Linked DNA regions of Schizosaccharomyces pombe. The gene in region 2 interacts genetically with the main gene of each other region. Each region holds a gene or a part of one and is shown on either strand. Other genes may lie near its edges.

Evidence for each region. A genetic interaction does not mean that the proteins touch.
Region 1: mutations in pgt1 (region 2) and msa1 together harm fitness more than expected from each alone (negative genetic interaction), as found in Schizosaccharomyces pombe (one large-scale study listed by BioGRID).
Region 3: mutations in pgt1 (region 2) and ppx1 together harm fitness more than expected from each alone (negative genetic interaction), as found in Schizosaccharomyces pombe (one large-scale study listed by BioGRID).

What each region holds. Positions count from the first base shown.
Region 1 is NC_003424.3:2,317,909-2,324,569, reverse strand, and holds msa1 (RNA-binding protein Msa1), read left to right. Parts: upstream 1-1,744; 5' UTR 1,745-4,330; coding exon 4,331-5,932; 3' UTR 5,933-6,078; downstream 6,079-6,661. UniProt on the Schizosaccharomyces pombe protein: Negative regulator of sexual differentiation. Acts by repressing the transcription of meiosis-inducing, ste11-regulated genes.
Region 2 is NC_003424.3:5,430,797-5,436,574, reverse strand, and holds pgt1 (plasma membrane glutathione transmembrane transporter Pgt1), read left to right. Parts: upstream 1-1,787; 5' UTR 1,788-2,161; coding exon 2,162-4,717; 3' UTR 4,718-5,000; downstream 5,001-5,778. Other genes in the region: silencing factor Clr5, read right to left, coding at 5,503-5,778. UniProt on the Schizosaccharomyces pombe protein: High-affinity glutathione transporter which plays a role in scavenging glutathione from the extracellular environment for the maintenance of sulfur homeostasis.
Region 3 is NC_003424.3:3,944,555-3,948,570, forward strand, and holds ppx1 (exopolyphosphatase), read left to right. Parts: upstream 1-2,000; 5' UTR 2,001-2,023; coding exon 2,024-2,141; exon of another isoform or gene 2,142-2,183; coding exon 2,184-3,220; 3' UTR 3,221-3,375; downstream 3,376-4,016. Other genes in the region: GARP complex subunit Vps54, read left to right, coding at 1-1,489; plp1 (thioredoxin domain-containing protein), read right to left, coding at 3,376-3,687, 3,729-3,804, 3,853-3,939, 3,984-4,016.

The DNA.
Region 1 (6,661 bases), 3.1 Mb from region 2:
CGAAATTTTTTTTTTCATGTTTCTACTAACGAGAACGTTGAACCCTAATAGCATTTGTTAAGCAGTAAATAATAACTGGTTTCCCTGGTATAAGACATAGTATAAGAACGAGAAGAAATAAATCATATATGGTATTTTTTTTGTTTGGTTTAGTAATGAAGTTCTTTTTTTTTAAAATGGCCCAGTAATAAAAAAGTTCACGAAGAACGTAGTTAGAAAGCTTGATAAATAAATTAAATGAAATCTATGCTCTTTAGAAAGTTCTATGATCTGGCTTGGAGAAGAGTAGTACATAACAGTATGGTAATGTAGTTAGAGCTTCTCTTAACATGCGTACGTTTTCATACCTCTTAATAGTAGGGATGGTTCAGTTCATACAGCTACCTAGTTCACCCCATCAATCAATCAATCAATCGATACAGTCACTCTTCAAAGCATTTTGAGAGTTCTCCCACAGATTTTATGCTAGCTGGAGTTCCGACTTGTTTATTAAAGTAGGAAGGTTGGAAGCGAACCATATCTAACAAACTTTTTTCAAAACGAAAATTAAAAGCAAATTAAACTTTCATTGTCTTACGTCCCATGTTAGGGGGGGGAAGCAGCTAAACAATGATGATTTATAGATGGTTGCCTCGGCTATTATTTACTTTGTTTCATATCTGAAAGAAGAGTAAGGGATAGGATACGCCAAAGATCCACCATAAAACGGTTTATCAACAAAAGGATCATCATCGAATTTGGTTTATGAGTCTTTCAAATGTACTCGTGTTTGTTAGTTTAACATACTATTGCATCCACTAGAGATAGTTAAGAGAAGCTGATTTACAAATGATCGGTTTCGACATGTCTGCCAAGTTATACTTTTAACGTATTACCAAGAAAAAAAAATTTACGGGACGGGGATTCCATTCTTGCTGCTTTGGTTTATACTGTAAGCATAACAGCAATCTTAAATTGAATCGTCTTTGCCAAGCGCATTTGTAAGAGTATTGTATGCTATGCCACGCAGTGCATTTTCATATCCAACGCTACATACAATTTGTTGTTACTCTTTCTGTAGACCATTTCGGAACGTTGATTGAAGATCGGAAAATTTAATGTTTCGTCCAGAAATTGTCTGCATATGTAGTATCACAGAGAGTGTCAAGTCATATCTGACAGCATCAGGTTAATGAGCTTAATTTGGGCCAAAGGCGAGCTAGAAAAGAAGAAGAAAAAAAGAAAAAGTAAACAGTAAAGAAAAACATATAACGACTCTTATTCATCCTTCCTCAGCATTCCCTTTTTCATATTTTTATCCCATTCTAATCCTAGTCTAAGAAATGCTGGCGATATAGACCGAGTCTACTGGTGTCTGGAAAGGAACATAGCTATATCTATATATAGATATAGATATAGATATGTATGTATGCTTGTATTTCGTTGGCAGTTTTCTAGTTTAACTAGCAAAATACAAGAATTAAAATTAGTATTAGTATTATTATTATTATTTTTAAACATTTAAACATCGACTAATTTTTTCAACATCTGTTTTCACTTTCAAGTATCGACTACTTTCTACATTCCAACGATCCATTCTTTATTATAGATTCACCCTTTTCCTCGATAAATAAGCACCATTACACATACTTAAAATTTTTGTTTCAAAGGGAAGCTAAACTGTACGACGATGTTTATCGTTATACTCAGCTGTCACTTATCCAGAACTCACTCCATCAGAGTGCGTGCATTTAGCTTGCTCCCTGCACATCCCACTACAAAGTGTTAGAGATAGGCAATCGGAGTTAGAATACCGAGACTTTATTCCAAGGTAAAAACACATCTAGAAATGGGGACAAACAAAGAAACAAAAGGTCATGTGAATGTTAGATTCAAGGGGTAGAGTTCGATATCTCAGCAAGCGATTCCTTTTTTTTTTTTTTTTTTTTTTTTTGAGAAAACCTCGGTACACGCTAAGCTGGCTTTTCCTATTGTTACTCCTTTTACTACTAGTATTATACTATTGCTTTGCTTTGTTGAATAAACAGTCTATAGAACGCTCAAGAAAATACGACGAAAATAGTTTATTCATAGCTTGACAAACTAACTACCTTTGTTTTGTTTTGTTTTTTTCTTTTCTTTTTTTTTTCGTTTCTTAGCTTGGCTATAGCTTGCGTATTCTGTCTTTGTCAGTCATTAATCCAGACAGTAATATAACATATTCACCTTGTTCTTTTAAAGGTCTCCCTTTTTTTCTTTGTTGCTCATCTAGATTGTGCTTAATTTTTTTTTTGTATACTAATCAAAATTCAATTTATTTTTCTTTAGTTATTTATTTGTTTTTTTTTTCGCTTTATTGGATCCTATTGTAAAAAATCATCTTTTTCATTGTGCTTGCAATTTACCTTTCTTTGACGATTACGCCTTTGTTCACGACTTTTAGCATTCTTCCTTTTTCTATCTCCATGGGGCCGTTGTTAACTTACTCCTAAAATTTGTAGTTGCTTATCTTCACAACCAAAGGATGCTTCGGTGCAGCACCCAATTTTTAGCCCATTACCCTGTGCCCAATTCTCAATGTCTCATCATTTGTCAATACTAGCTTGTTCCTTATACTCCCTGTAACCCACTATCTAAGACATTGTGGAGAGGGAAATGTTGGCAGTAGTGATATACTTCCGAATGGACAATTGCCTATCAATCGTGGTAAAGGAGAATGGCTAGAATTTAGTAAAATGATATGGCCCAAATAGAACGGTAAAATTACTAAAAGATTGAGGATTTGAGGCAGCGTCTTGGTCGTTTGACTAATTATTAGAGTGTAAGCAGGATTCGGATGTATTGCTCCTTTAGTTAATCATATCGTCTGGTTTTGCTCCCTAATGTCCCTTGTCCTCTTTTATGCCGCCTACATTACCGATGAAGAACACGTGTTGAAATCCCCGAGTTTGCAAGTAGTCTTGATATACAATGTCTTTTCCTCGTATATTCCGAGCAGATCTAAACCTTCGTCGTGAATAACCCCCTTCTTTGCTTTCACCTAAATCAATTGCTATTCGAGGGTTTTCGATTCTCTCCTTTCTCCATTAACATACTAAATTCAATTTCTCTTTGTGTGGGTTGCTTCCTTTTTGCTGAGACGTCTCCCCGTCTTCCATCCTGTCTTTATCAGTTTTGTTGCATTTCTGATCACCCATTTTTTCTTTTTTTCCTTTTCTTTTGTTATCTATCGAATACCTCCACATTGCTTGAAATACTAGTGAGACTGCGTTTACCTTCTCTTCTCATCTGATTCTGTCTGTGCCATTGAGCTTTCCTTCGCTCTCCTCTTGCACCTTTTGTTGCGTTTACTGGCTTCTTTATTTTTATTTGTTTTCTTTTTCACCTCAAACTTTCTCTGTGTTCAGCTTTTCGAGATATTCAACTGCAATTGTACTGCTCTTTGATTCTTTCACCTTTTTCAATTCGAACTTGCTACTCCCTCAAGCTTATCCAATTATTTTTTAGCTTCCACTTGAGAAGAGTTCTCTCTATCCATCACCCAAAAACTGAAATTTCATCTTTGTGAAATTTCTTTCACGGTCTGATCACCGTGCAAGCTATTTCTATTCCCCATTTTACTTTTCTCATCATCTGACTCTTATTCTGGAAATACTCGTTTCCCCCACTCAAATATATATTTATTCTTTGGGCTTTCCTTAGACTATTGTTAGACTGCAAAGTCTCGTTTGGTTTACCTACTGTCTATCTCTGGTTTTGGTTTTTCATTTTCCATTTCTGTTTCAGCTGGTTTCTCAAAATCTTCATCCTTTCTTTCTTTCTTTCTTTTGACTCGTCATTTTTAAGAGCCATTCCATTTCTTTCTTATTTATACGTGTATAATCTCTATTTTATCTTTGCATTTTTGCACTAAATTACCATACGCTTGCGTTTTTTTCTTTCCCTATTTCTGCAATTTTATTACCTGAGTAAAAGTTTTCCCATTCGTTTTTTCCTATCCCTTCTTTGATCAATTTTATTTATCTTTTCTTTTGACCAAATTTTTTCTCTGGGGTTTTTTTTAAACTTTGTTTTGAAGGAAATTTTAAATTAATTAACTTTTAACTTTTTCAGTTGAAATACTTTTCATTCTTTTTTCTACGCAGCTTTTGGATTGCTGTTGACACATCATCTCATAACTATCTATTGTATTCCATATAATCGACTGATACGACCTCCATCCCACTTTGGCGCAGGCATCTCGTATAAAGTTTTGTCTTTTTAATTTGATATCAATCCGGCATCCTTGTTTCATGCCCCTTTATAGATCCTTTCTCATTCCAAACTTTTTTTTTAAACACATTATTTAAAAATGGTTGTTTCCTCTCCGTCTGTATCTTTATTGCATTCTCCTGTCGAAAAATTATCAGCCCAACTCGAAAAAACAACGCTTTTACAAGACATTCCCCCAGGTTCTTTATCCGAAAATGATAATTCCACTACCTTTATAAAGCCTCCTTTGGAAACTGCATCATCAAGCACCCCTATCCCAAGTTCCTCTTCCAGTGGAGTATTAAATCCGTCGTCTGTCCGTGGAAAACCAGTTGCCTGTTTATTTGTTGCTAGCTTAAACTCTTCAAGGTCTGAGGAAGAGCTGACTGCCACTGTTAAAGATTACTTTCAACAGTGGGGTCCTTTGTTGCATGTCAAAGTTTTGAAAGATTGGTTGCAAAGGCCTTATTCTTTTGTTCAATTTCAAAATACTGATGATGCATCGAAAGCACTTTCTGAAGCCCAAAACACGATATTGGATGGCCGTCATATACGTATAGAGCGCGCCAAAGTTAATAGGACAATCCGTATATCCTCTGCACCCCATCAACCTTACATTACAAAAAAAGACATAGATAACTTATTGGAACCTTATGGCGAGGTTGAAGATGTCACGGAAATACCAGATCAATCCGCTTTCTTAGTACGGTTTGTTTACAGGGATGAAGCAATCGCAGCCTATACCGCGCTTAAGCATTCTGCCTGGCCTGTACTTTGGGCGGAAAATGTGACATATCAAAACGGTCACTATAAGAAGAAAGGTTCCTCCCCGTTTTCTCCACCTAACGCACATAGTCGAAGGCGAAAGTCGCAAGGCAAAGATCAGTCGAACACTCCTGTTATCAAAGCACCTGCCCCTATTCCATTCTCAGTTTCTTCCGATCCTCCTTCTACCATGGGAAGATCAAATTCCGCGGTTCAAAGTCCCTCATACTTTGCTCACTCATTGGTCAATTCTACTGAATTCAGTACTCCTAATGAATCTTTAAGCTCCTTACCGAGTATATTACCTTCAATACCCTCTTTAGAAAGCGGCAAGGCCGAACTCCCAACAGATGGTTCTTTTGAACAGCCTGGATATCCCATGAACCCCTCTATGATGTTTGCTGCAATGCCTCCACCGATTGATCCTTATTCTATATTCGTTGGCCAACTCGACCCAGTAAATTGCACACACTACTTACTAGTTGATCTATTTTCCAAATATGGAAAGGTAATCGATTGTAAAATAATTCATCAAAGCAAGAAGCCTGCTTTTGCTTTTCTAAGGTTTGATTCTCAACAAGCCGCTTATGCTGCCGTCTGCGGTAAGACGAGGTCCCCACACCAGAAAAAGCCTTTGCGTGTTGAATTTCGTCAACTAAGACCAATGCAGCAATTTTCCCCTCAATATCAATATCCCTCCTATCCATATCCGATGTTTCCAGCGCCATTTTCACCACCTCGTAATGCAATGATGCCAATCCCTGCACCCATGGATCAGTTTTCAACATTTCACCAGTCAATGGCTACCCTTCCTCCTGGTGCCGTTCCCACATCAATTCCTCAGTCGTACTATCCCATTTATTCTCCAGAAATGGCTATGCCTCAATCGTACAGTCCGATGTATTATACGCATAACCCACCTATGGATGGGAATTAGATTTATTTTGAATTTCCCTTCATTATCTGATTGAGGTTTCACTTCTTTATACAGTCCTTAAGTGTCGGAGTTTTTTTTATTAGGTACATATTCTATAAAACACTAATAATTATCTAATTTATTTTACTTAAAAGATGCAAATTGGCTGCAATTATATTTAAAAGATTTAGAGTCATAAATGTTATTATGTTCATATATATGTCTTCTATATAATTTTACGAATTAGTGTAACTCGTAACAGTTCTCTACTTTACGCATTAACGATATAATGATATTAGATAGAAGTTTATTTATATATGCTCCCAAATATAGATGTTCTCACACATGTATCGTATACACTCTAACCATTTGATTATTTTCACTACATAAATTTTTACAAAAATACTATATAAAGTCAATTCATTTTATGAAATTTTTAATTTGAGGCTGTAATATTACGTGAACTTTTTATTTTGGCTTACTGGCGAACTGAAAAAAGAAAATTAGTTTTTTTTTTAACAGACCTCTATTTCATAGCTTTAGACTTTCTCAAAACACTAGTTTCATATAAATATTCCTTATAGACACTAAATACAAAAAAAGGTTCGTGAGGTAAAGAACCAGAAAAAGAAAAAAATTATAAAGACAGGACAAGCATAAGTTTACAAGGGACTATTATATACGGGGTATACGTTTCCTTGCTATACTGATTCTTTATACATCTCCCAATTTCGTTTGCTATATATTCTT
Region 2 (5,778 bases):
CAGACTTAGTGTGCATAACTCCCCGCGTCAATTACTGATTACTGATGATTTTTAACCCTCATAAACCAATTCATCTATTCCTTTGTTGGGGTTTGTACTCACTGGTCTACATTTATGATCGAAACATGTTTTCGATTACATGTACCATGTTTACGCATGATTTTCCTTGATGTCCACAAATTTATATATTCATTATCCATTGATGTGCTGTAATTATCATATATTCAAAAACTTTACTTTGCTTGACTTTTAAGGCTTTTAATGCAGAAATGTCAAAGTGATATTTCGTTGTAATGGTTTCCCTTTCTCATTAACCCTCTTGCAAATACCTATTATTGCTCTCTACTATATAAAATTGCAAGTTATACATTGGACGCGTTAATGGCTTTTTTTTGTTATTTTCACCCTTGTATCTTGCGCAATAGAGCATCTATGTTTAACAATTAAAAAAATGGGAACTATTTTCGAACTCGTTTCAGGCTAGATTTCCCTTATGTTTGTTGGTTTATAGTTTCCCGAGACAAATCTAACACAGTCTTCCGTCCTTGCTTTAAACTGTTGATCTTTTGCTGACATGGTTATATTTACAATTTTGCTGAGGCAAAAATACGAAACCCTTAATAAAAACGAGGTCAAGTACCTCTTCAAACATTATTTAATATTTGTCGGTATGAGATCCATAAATTTGATGATGAAATTATTTAAAATGAAATTTGTTTATTTATTTTAGTAGATCGTTTCCAGTGATCACCGATGAATAATCTTTACTTTTATTAAATAACACAAAAACCAGAAAACTTATATTAAAGTAAAAGATTCGGTTTATTTGTGTTATAGAGGGAATAAAAGGTTTACTGTATAAGAATTTACAGGTTAATTTGAATTTACACAAAGTAGTAAAAATGGTTCTGATGCTGCTTTGTTTTTCCGAATAACTGAGAAGGAAAAAAATTATTGCAATGTCTAAATTTAATCATTTGCGAATTATAATGCAAACAATAAGATATTTCTACGAAGCTACTAAAGGTTACTTCTATAGGTAGTATAAATTAATATTTGTACAGATTTTATTATTACCTTAAAATAGTCCCTTTTTTTTGTTATATCTATGAAATGAAAAAAGTACCTAACTGGATTTTGGTTTTTTTTTTATTTTCACTAGGCAAATTGATAGTAAAACTAACACAATGCAACATTAAAGAATCTTAGTATCGTTAATCAACAGTCAAAATAAATTGTCTATTATGCAACAAAATATTTCTAATAAAAGGACTATTTATTAAGTCATGCTACACATTTGAAATTTTTTGCTTGTTGTCATAGTATACTTTGCATGGGAATTGCGCAAATTAAAAAAAAAAAAAGGAAAAAAAGAGAAATATGGAAATGAAGTCTTTTGGCTACAAAAAAAGTAAAATTAAAAGAACTTCAAAATAACACTATTAGTACTGTAGTAGGAAGTAAAAATGAATAAACCAACTTGAAAAACAACTGGATTTATTGTAAATCCTCATACATTTATCACACACAAAGTCGCTATATATCTAAAGACTCGCTAAAGGAATCTTATTAAGTAACACGGAGATTTTTTGTAACCTCGTTAACTATCTTAAAGCTGCTCTTTCTTCGATAAAGAGCGAAGGGACACAATGTCGTGATGGTGTCGCAATTATTGACATGCTTATCGATGGTATAAGATCAGCTTACCATTCGGCAATCATGCCCTGGTATTAAAAATCTTTTTCATTCATACATATATATAAATATATAAATTTGTGTGCAAAGTTAAACTCTCCTTTACCCTTCACTTGGTTTTTAAGAAAAGTGCAAAAATTAATTGAGATTTCAGTGAATCTCACTTGTAACAATTGAAATAATCTTGGCGTGCGAGAAAGCAATTGAACGGCCTTTATATTTCTTTGTGGATCAAGTTTTTGCTGATTTTATCAATAACCTCAATTTCGGTTGAAAAGCAACGCTTGTCGAAATTCTGAAAAAGTTCGATGGAAATTGCCATAGACGAAAATTTCATACAAAGGCAGAGATAAAGGAGTTTTCATTTGTTAGTGCCTGCATTATTTTTTAACCTAAATAGATTATATATCTTGCCATTTGTTGAATTATTTGCTCCTGATTTGACAGGCTTTTATAGGTAAATACAATGACAGCTCGCAATTCTGCTAGTATTCCTACCAGTATTAGGAAAACATCTGAAAATGAAGTCTCTGGAGATGAGACACCAGCTGGAGTTGGGAATTTATCTACAAAGACGGCCTCTAAGACTTCGCTGACTTTTCGACAGTCTTCTTCTGACGAGTCGACGAGCAGTTATAGTGGAAACCACCATAATATTAACATTCAACATCACCCTAATCGTCCTTTTCGGACCAATTCATCTTCATTCAGTCCAAATGACTACAGCATAAGTGAAAGTCCTAGTAAATCGAAGAAGGATGGCGTGCATGTCTCAGCGGTTCAACTTGACAATGAAACCGACTCTGAAGTCGAGTCAGAAGTAGAAGAGTTGGAACGTGAATTAGAAGCCATTGAAGATTCTGTTTACCCAGAAGTTCGTGCTGCCGTAAATCCTACTGACGACGTTAATTTGCCTGTGAACACTTGGAGAACTTGGGTGCTTACCACCATATTTGTAATAGTTTTCGCTGCTGTGAATCAATTTTTTAGTCTACGTTATCCGGCTTTGAGCATCAGTTTCATTGTCGCTCAATTAATTTTATTTCCTCTAGGAAAACTATTGAACTTGTTACCAAATTGGAAGATTGGTTATGGTCGATTCTCTTTTTATCTTAATTCTTCCCCCTTTAACGTTAAAGAACATGCAGCCATTACAATCGCTGTTTCCCTAACATCATCTACCGCTTATGCCACGAATATCCTGTCCGCCCAAACTAGCTTCTATAAACAAAACCTCTCGTGGGGTTATAAAATACTTATTGTGCTTACCTCGCAAATGCTGGGTTATGGATTTGCCGGTCTCACTAGACGCTGGATTGTGTATCCAGCTGCTATGATCTGGCCTCAAACTTTAGTAAGCACTGTTCTGTTTAGAACACTTCACGGTAATAGTGGAAATGACATTGGGGTATTAAAAAATAACAGGATATCTGCTAATGGCTGGACCATTTCCAGATATCGCTTTTTTGCATATGTAATGATTGGATCATTTGTTTTTTACTGGTTTCCTGGGTTCATATTTAAAGGTCTTTCTTATTTTACCGTTCTTTGCTGGATATGGCCAAAGAATCGTGTTGTAAATCAGTTATTTGGATACAACTCCGGTCTTGGCATTCTTCCCCTTACATTCGACTGGCAGCAAGTCGTTTACAACAGCAATCCATTGGCTTCTCCCTGGTGGGTAATTTGCAATACTTTTGGATCGGTGGTTTTAATTTTTTGGATTGTCGTTCCTATCTTGTACTATAAAGGTGTTTGGTTCTCTAATTATTTACCCATGCTTTCATCTTCAACATTTGATCACACCGGTGTAAGCTACAACTCTTCACGTGTTCTTAATAGTGATTACTCATTTAATCATACAAAATATGAATCATATTCACCCTTATATATGCCTATGTCCTATAGCATGTCAACTGCTTTGAATTTTGCTGCTGTGACAGCTATTTTCACACATTGCGCTTTATACAATGGAAAAGATATATGGCAACGCTTATGGAAAGAGTCTGGTAAAGATGAATGCATTCATCGGAAGCTGATGCGCAATTATAAGGAAGCACCTCAGTGGTGGTATGCCACATTGTTCATCGTAGTCTTTGGCTTAACCATTTTCACAGTTCGTTACTATGATACGCAATGTCCTGTGTGGGCTCTCATTGTTGCCTTGTTGATTTTTATTGTAAATTTCATTCCTCAAGGTGTTCTTGAAGGCATTACAAATCAGCATGTCGGTCTCAATATTATCACTGAGCTAATTGGCGGTTATATTTTACCTGGGAAACCTTTAGCTAATTTGATGATTAAACTGTATGGGTTCATTCCTATGCGGCAAGGGCTAGAGTTTTCTCGTGATCTTAAACTCGCTCAATATATGAAAATACCTCCACGTATATTATTTTTTGTTCAGCTTTTTGCTACAATCCTCGGTGGAATTACCCAGGTTGCTGTACAGGAATGGATGAATTATCACATTCCAGGTATTTGTACAACTTCACAATCAAATGGCTTTACTTGTCCCAACGGTCGTTCCATCTATAATGCCTCCTTAATTTGGGGTGCAATTGGGCCCGCTAAAATGTTTTCAAAAGGAAAACCATATTACCCATTGATTTTTTTCTTTTTGATAGGTGCAGTTGCTCCTTTTATAACATGGGGTTTGAGAAAAAGGTTTCCTAAGTCGTGGATTGGAAAGCTTAATGCTCCGGTCCTTTTCACTGGTCCTGGCAATATTCCTCCCGCTACTGGAATTAACTATTCTTCTTGGGCAATTGTTGGGTTTATATTTAATTATGTGATTAGAAAGCGCGCGATACACTGGTGGAGGAAGTACAACTACGTACTGGCTGCAGCTATGGATTCTGGGGTTGCAGTCGCTGGAGTAGTAATTTTCTTATGTGTATCATACCCTGGAGGTAAGATAACCTGGTGGGGAAACACTGTGTACACTAAAACTTATGATTGGAAAAGTGTGCCATATAGGTCACTTGGGCCAAACGAAACCTTTGGTTACACCAATTGGTAAAAGCTATTTTAAGGCGTTTAGTGCTCTCTCCTGCTCTTCCGATTGTATTTAAGCACATTTTTTAAAAGCATTTTAACAATCGTTATTTTGATACCCTCTAAGAACGATCTATATTGTACATTATATATTTTACCAAGATGGTGTGATATGCTTTGTCAGTTCAACAGGCCAAATCCGTTCTATTTTAAGGCTTTTAAAAACCTAAAAACGTCCGGTTACTCATAATTTGTTGAATGAAACATTTCCACAGCTTATTAAATATAATACTTTACTGAATCCACTACTATGATAACTATTCAAGGTTGGTTAAAGTTTGTAAATAGTAAAAACCGAATGTATAAGCAAAATAAAAATAACTATTATTAAATATATAACTTTTATGTACATAGGATCTCGTATACGAAAGTACCGGTCGACCTTGATTAAAAATAGTTTCTAAAATTATATACAAAGCAAAAAGACAAAACGATTAAGAGCAAAAAAGAATCAAAAATGAACTTAGCTCAAATAAGAGCTAACGCAAAAGGTTCTTTTATTAAAAAAGAAGGGCTTGCCTGTCCATATACCAGATACTGACACAAATGGCAATATAATTTAACTCACATTAGGCAGGTAGGGCGAATGGTGAAGAAAAAAATTAAAAAACATCTAAATGATAATAAAGCAGAAACCAAAAGGGAATGCCAGAAAGGACCAACTAAAGATACAGGTACTAGTATAAATAGAGCAACACCATGGAAATGGTCAAAACCGCAAAGTGCAACAAGCGGCAATACTAACCTAAACTAAACGAAACGAGAATCTACATCTGGATAAACAGGAAGTAAAGGTCCATGGTCATGCAAAGCTGCATCTGAACGAACCAGGGGAGAATGCTCATGGTTTTGTTGGGGCATAAGCAATGGATTTTGTACTGGATTCAAAGCCGCACTTGCATCTAATAGATTAGCTGAAGGATGGTGAATGTTCTGAGGAAATCTATTAACGAATGTGTTGGGATACGAGTATTGGATATGCTGGTCATCAGATAAATGAGAGTGAATGGGAGGAGGAAGCTGTTG
Region 3 (4,016 bases), 1.5 Mb from region 2:
ATTTGAAAATTTAGCACAACAGTATTTTACCGATGGTGTAGAGATGCGCAGTGTTCGTAAATCCTCTGATTTACGTCGCAGCTTGAGTGCAGCCAGCCTTTCTAGTCTTTCAGATAGCTCTAGAAGAAGTTCATCAGCGGCGAATCCTTTTCAGAGCATGAGCATCACGGAATTTGCAGAAATGTTGACGAATATATATTTTTCATCATTGGAATGTCTGCGTCGCATTCGCAGCCAAATAAAAGTTTTAATAGATATTTTATCGAAAAAAGATACTAAACAATATCACCTATCTGTGATTCTTAATGATTTAATGGCCACGAGTTCCGATGTTGTTACACAACAAGTGACAACTATTAATAATCTTCGATTTCGAGTCTTGGATACTTATCCTCCTAATAATGTTATATACCTTTTTTCTTTACACATAATTTTTCATAATGAGCTTGAAAGTCTTTGCGGAATCACACAAAGCTCATTTATTCCAACTATAATGAGGCAATTACTGGACTGGTTTAAAAATTTTCAACGATATTCTACTCAGAAATTGGCATCAAGCTTTGAAAGGGAGCTATGGGAAGCGATACCTGTTGAACCATCCTGTCAAGATCTAGCTAATCGCGTGTTTGAATGCTCCGGTAATACTCCCGTAGAATGGACGCGACTATTATCTCCTGAAGCAGAAAAAGAAGATGAAAATCATAGGGTTCACCATGTAAAAGTTTCAGAGGACTGTACTGCTACGGTTTCGTTTGGAAAACAATCATTACATATTGTTCGGTCCTCTGTTACGTTGTTAGAAACATTGGATGATTATGGTAAACTTCTTGCTCACTTTTCAAGATTGGCTCCAGAGTTTCAGACTGGTATGCTAGATATGTTTCGTACACTCAATTCTCGGGTTTATCAATTAATATTGGGAGCGGGGACAGTGCGGTCGTCTGGCCTTAGTAAAGTACTTGGGAAGCATATTGCACTTGCCTCTCAAACTATCGCATTGTTTCAATTATCCCTTAATTCAATGTGCAGGTACTTGTCAAGAGTAACAGGAACTCGACTCACCAATGAAACTAATAAGTTGGATCAAGATTTCACCGTTCATCACTTACAAATTCATGATAAGTTTGTTAGTCTCATGAGGGAACGAGTTGCTATCAGTTGTTCCCAGATTGCTTCTCTTTCGTGGGATATTGACAGTCCTCATGGATACATTATTGATCTTTCAAAAAGTCTTATAAAGCTCTACAAAGTTTTACATCGCTACTCACAACGTGACTGTGTAGAAGTAATACCAGATGTAATTCGGATGTTCGAAGATAGACTGCAGTTGGAACTTACGGATATTGCAAGAAATCCATCCAAATGGCCAGGCGTTCGTATTGATTTGTCCTATTTTTATGACATGATGGCATCTAAATGCGGATATGCAGGAGACCGGACTTTATTGGAAAAATTTGAACGTACTCCGGAACAGCAGGAAGCGGCTTAAACATTTGTTTCGTCGTTTTTTGTAATCTATTTTAGTTCTTTTCTTGACAGGTATTTTGGTTATCTGCTTTTGTGCTCGAGTTACCGTCATATTCTTTGGAATTTTACATTTTGGTTTAACAATTTACTAACCTGAATGAATTCTAAGAATCCAAAAATTTTGTTGCAAGTTATGAACCAAGCAGCTTCTCTATAAAATTCTCCATTCTATCGATAGTTCTAGTATTCACAATGACGAATACAAATTCACTTATGACTACTAATCGGCCAGTTTTGATTTAGAGTATTACTCATTTAATTCGGAAATCTCATGGGAGCGTAATGTTTTCGACCGATTTAATTTCTTTTCATCTTCTCTCATTTATTATTGTTTTTATCACCTTTATTCAATTCCTTATGAAAATACTCATAATTGATTTAAGTGTATCAGTCAAATTCCTTGCTATATTGAGTAACTTGTTACTTTGGTAGTAATAGATTAGATATATTGGCTTGCACCTAAAGCCTGAAGTAACCTTTTCAATCTTTTGGTACAATGAAATTAGGCAGATTTTTAGAAAACGGAAGGGAGCAAATACGAAATCTCCTCTTAAATGCTTCGACTGTATCGTCTGCCCCGTCTTTTAGCTTTGTTAGTGGAAATGAATCAGCAGGTACATTAGTCGTAATAGACGAGAATTAACAATTCGTCTTAGATCTTGACAGTTGCGCTAGTTCAATCGTATATGCGTATTGCCTGCAAAGAAAACAGCTGGGTAGGATTGTAGTACCTTTTTTTAACATTCCTCGAAAGGAGCTACGTCTTAGGCCTGAACTGTCTTATTTGTTGAACTTAGCATCAATATCTTCCGATGATATTGTCTTTTTAGATGATATTGTAAAATTACCAAAAAGAATATTCAGTAATCCTATTTATTTAGTTGATCACAATTCTTTGGACCGTAAAGACCTAGAAAATTTCAACGGCAGTATCGCTGGTATTATAGATCACCACAAAGATGAAGGGGGATCCTTACATGCTGATCCAAGAATCATTGAGGAATGCGGTAGCTGCTGTACTTTAGTTTGCCGATATTTTATGCCTGTCATTAGATCTCTATATGATTCCAAAGTATCTGAACTTCACCAAACAGCAACCAACCTTGCTGTTTTGGCACTTGGCCCTATTTTAATTGATACTGGAAATTTAAAAAATGAAAAGACTACTGATACCGATGTTAAAATAGTAAATGACTTATGCTCATTTGTGCCAAAAGATTGGGTTCGAGATGAGTTTTTTGATACTCTGAAAGAGAAAAAGAAGAGCTGTAAGGGTTTTTCTTTTGATGATCTACTACGCAGGGATTTAAAACAGTATTTTCCGGACGGAATAGTCGTCAATTATGCCAGTGTTGGAAAGGGATTAGATTGGATCAAGAAAAAACGTCTCGGATGGGAAGATGAATTGAAAAGTTTTGCCGAAGTGCAAAATTCTGATTTGGTAATTGTTGGGTTATCTCTGAGTAAGAACGACGAGTTTGGTCGTCAATTGATTTTATACAAGCGTACTGAAAGGGGAGCTGGTCTTGCCGATTCTTTCTTAAAACTTAGCAAACAAAATTTAGGATTAGAAATTATTGAAGAGAAAGATAATGGCGACCTCAGTATGTGGAATCAAAGAAATTCCGCTGCTAGCAGAAAGAAAGTAGTTCCCTTACTTATGGACTCAGTTAAACAAGTCGCTTCAAAATAGTTACTGCTTTAGACTCCATTGTGATTTCTGTTCTGTACATTTTACGATAGCTACACTCATCAGTAGGCTTATGATAGATTTTAAATTTTTTTAAAAGGATATATATTATACATCACATTGATCTAAATTTCTTACTTTGTAATCCCAAGATCCTTTTATTCAAAAAAATCACTGTCATCTGATTGATTATTTTGTAGTTCATCGTGGTAAATAGACTTGTTTGAAGAACTCTCTTCTTTTAATCGGTCGATTGCTGAACTCTTGAGCAACCGAAATTCTAGGAGTGAAGTTTCAAAATCATCTTTATTACCTAAATCAGCAAATCCGATAATCTTATCCACGAGCTGAGAATTTACGTAGCAAAGTACGGCTGGTAATACTTTGAGACCCAATTTGACTACCAAAAATGGAGCGTTGGCTGCTTCAATACGGATAAACTTAGTTTCCCAATGTACTTTGGCAATTTTCTGAGAATGTTAGCGTAAGCAATAAATGGAACTCCTCGTACCTCTAGATGAGAGTCTATAATTTTGCAACGTATAAAATCAGGGTGGTAAAAATGTATAACAACTTTTTTTGATGAACTAAAAAATAATTAGTTTAAAATAATCGAAGCTAATGTTTTGACATACAGCGTAAAATCCATAACTTCGCGCTCATTTTCTACAGTAAGAAACTGCATGTGTCCTTTTTCTTTTGCAGCTTCCACTCTAGCGAATCTGAACGGTTAAATTCTTAAAATCATTTTAAAGCTTTTTCTTACTCTTTTTTTAGCATCTCCAATCTCTGTTCTCGA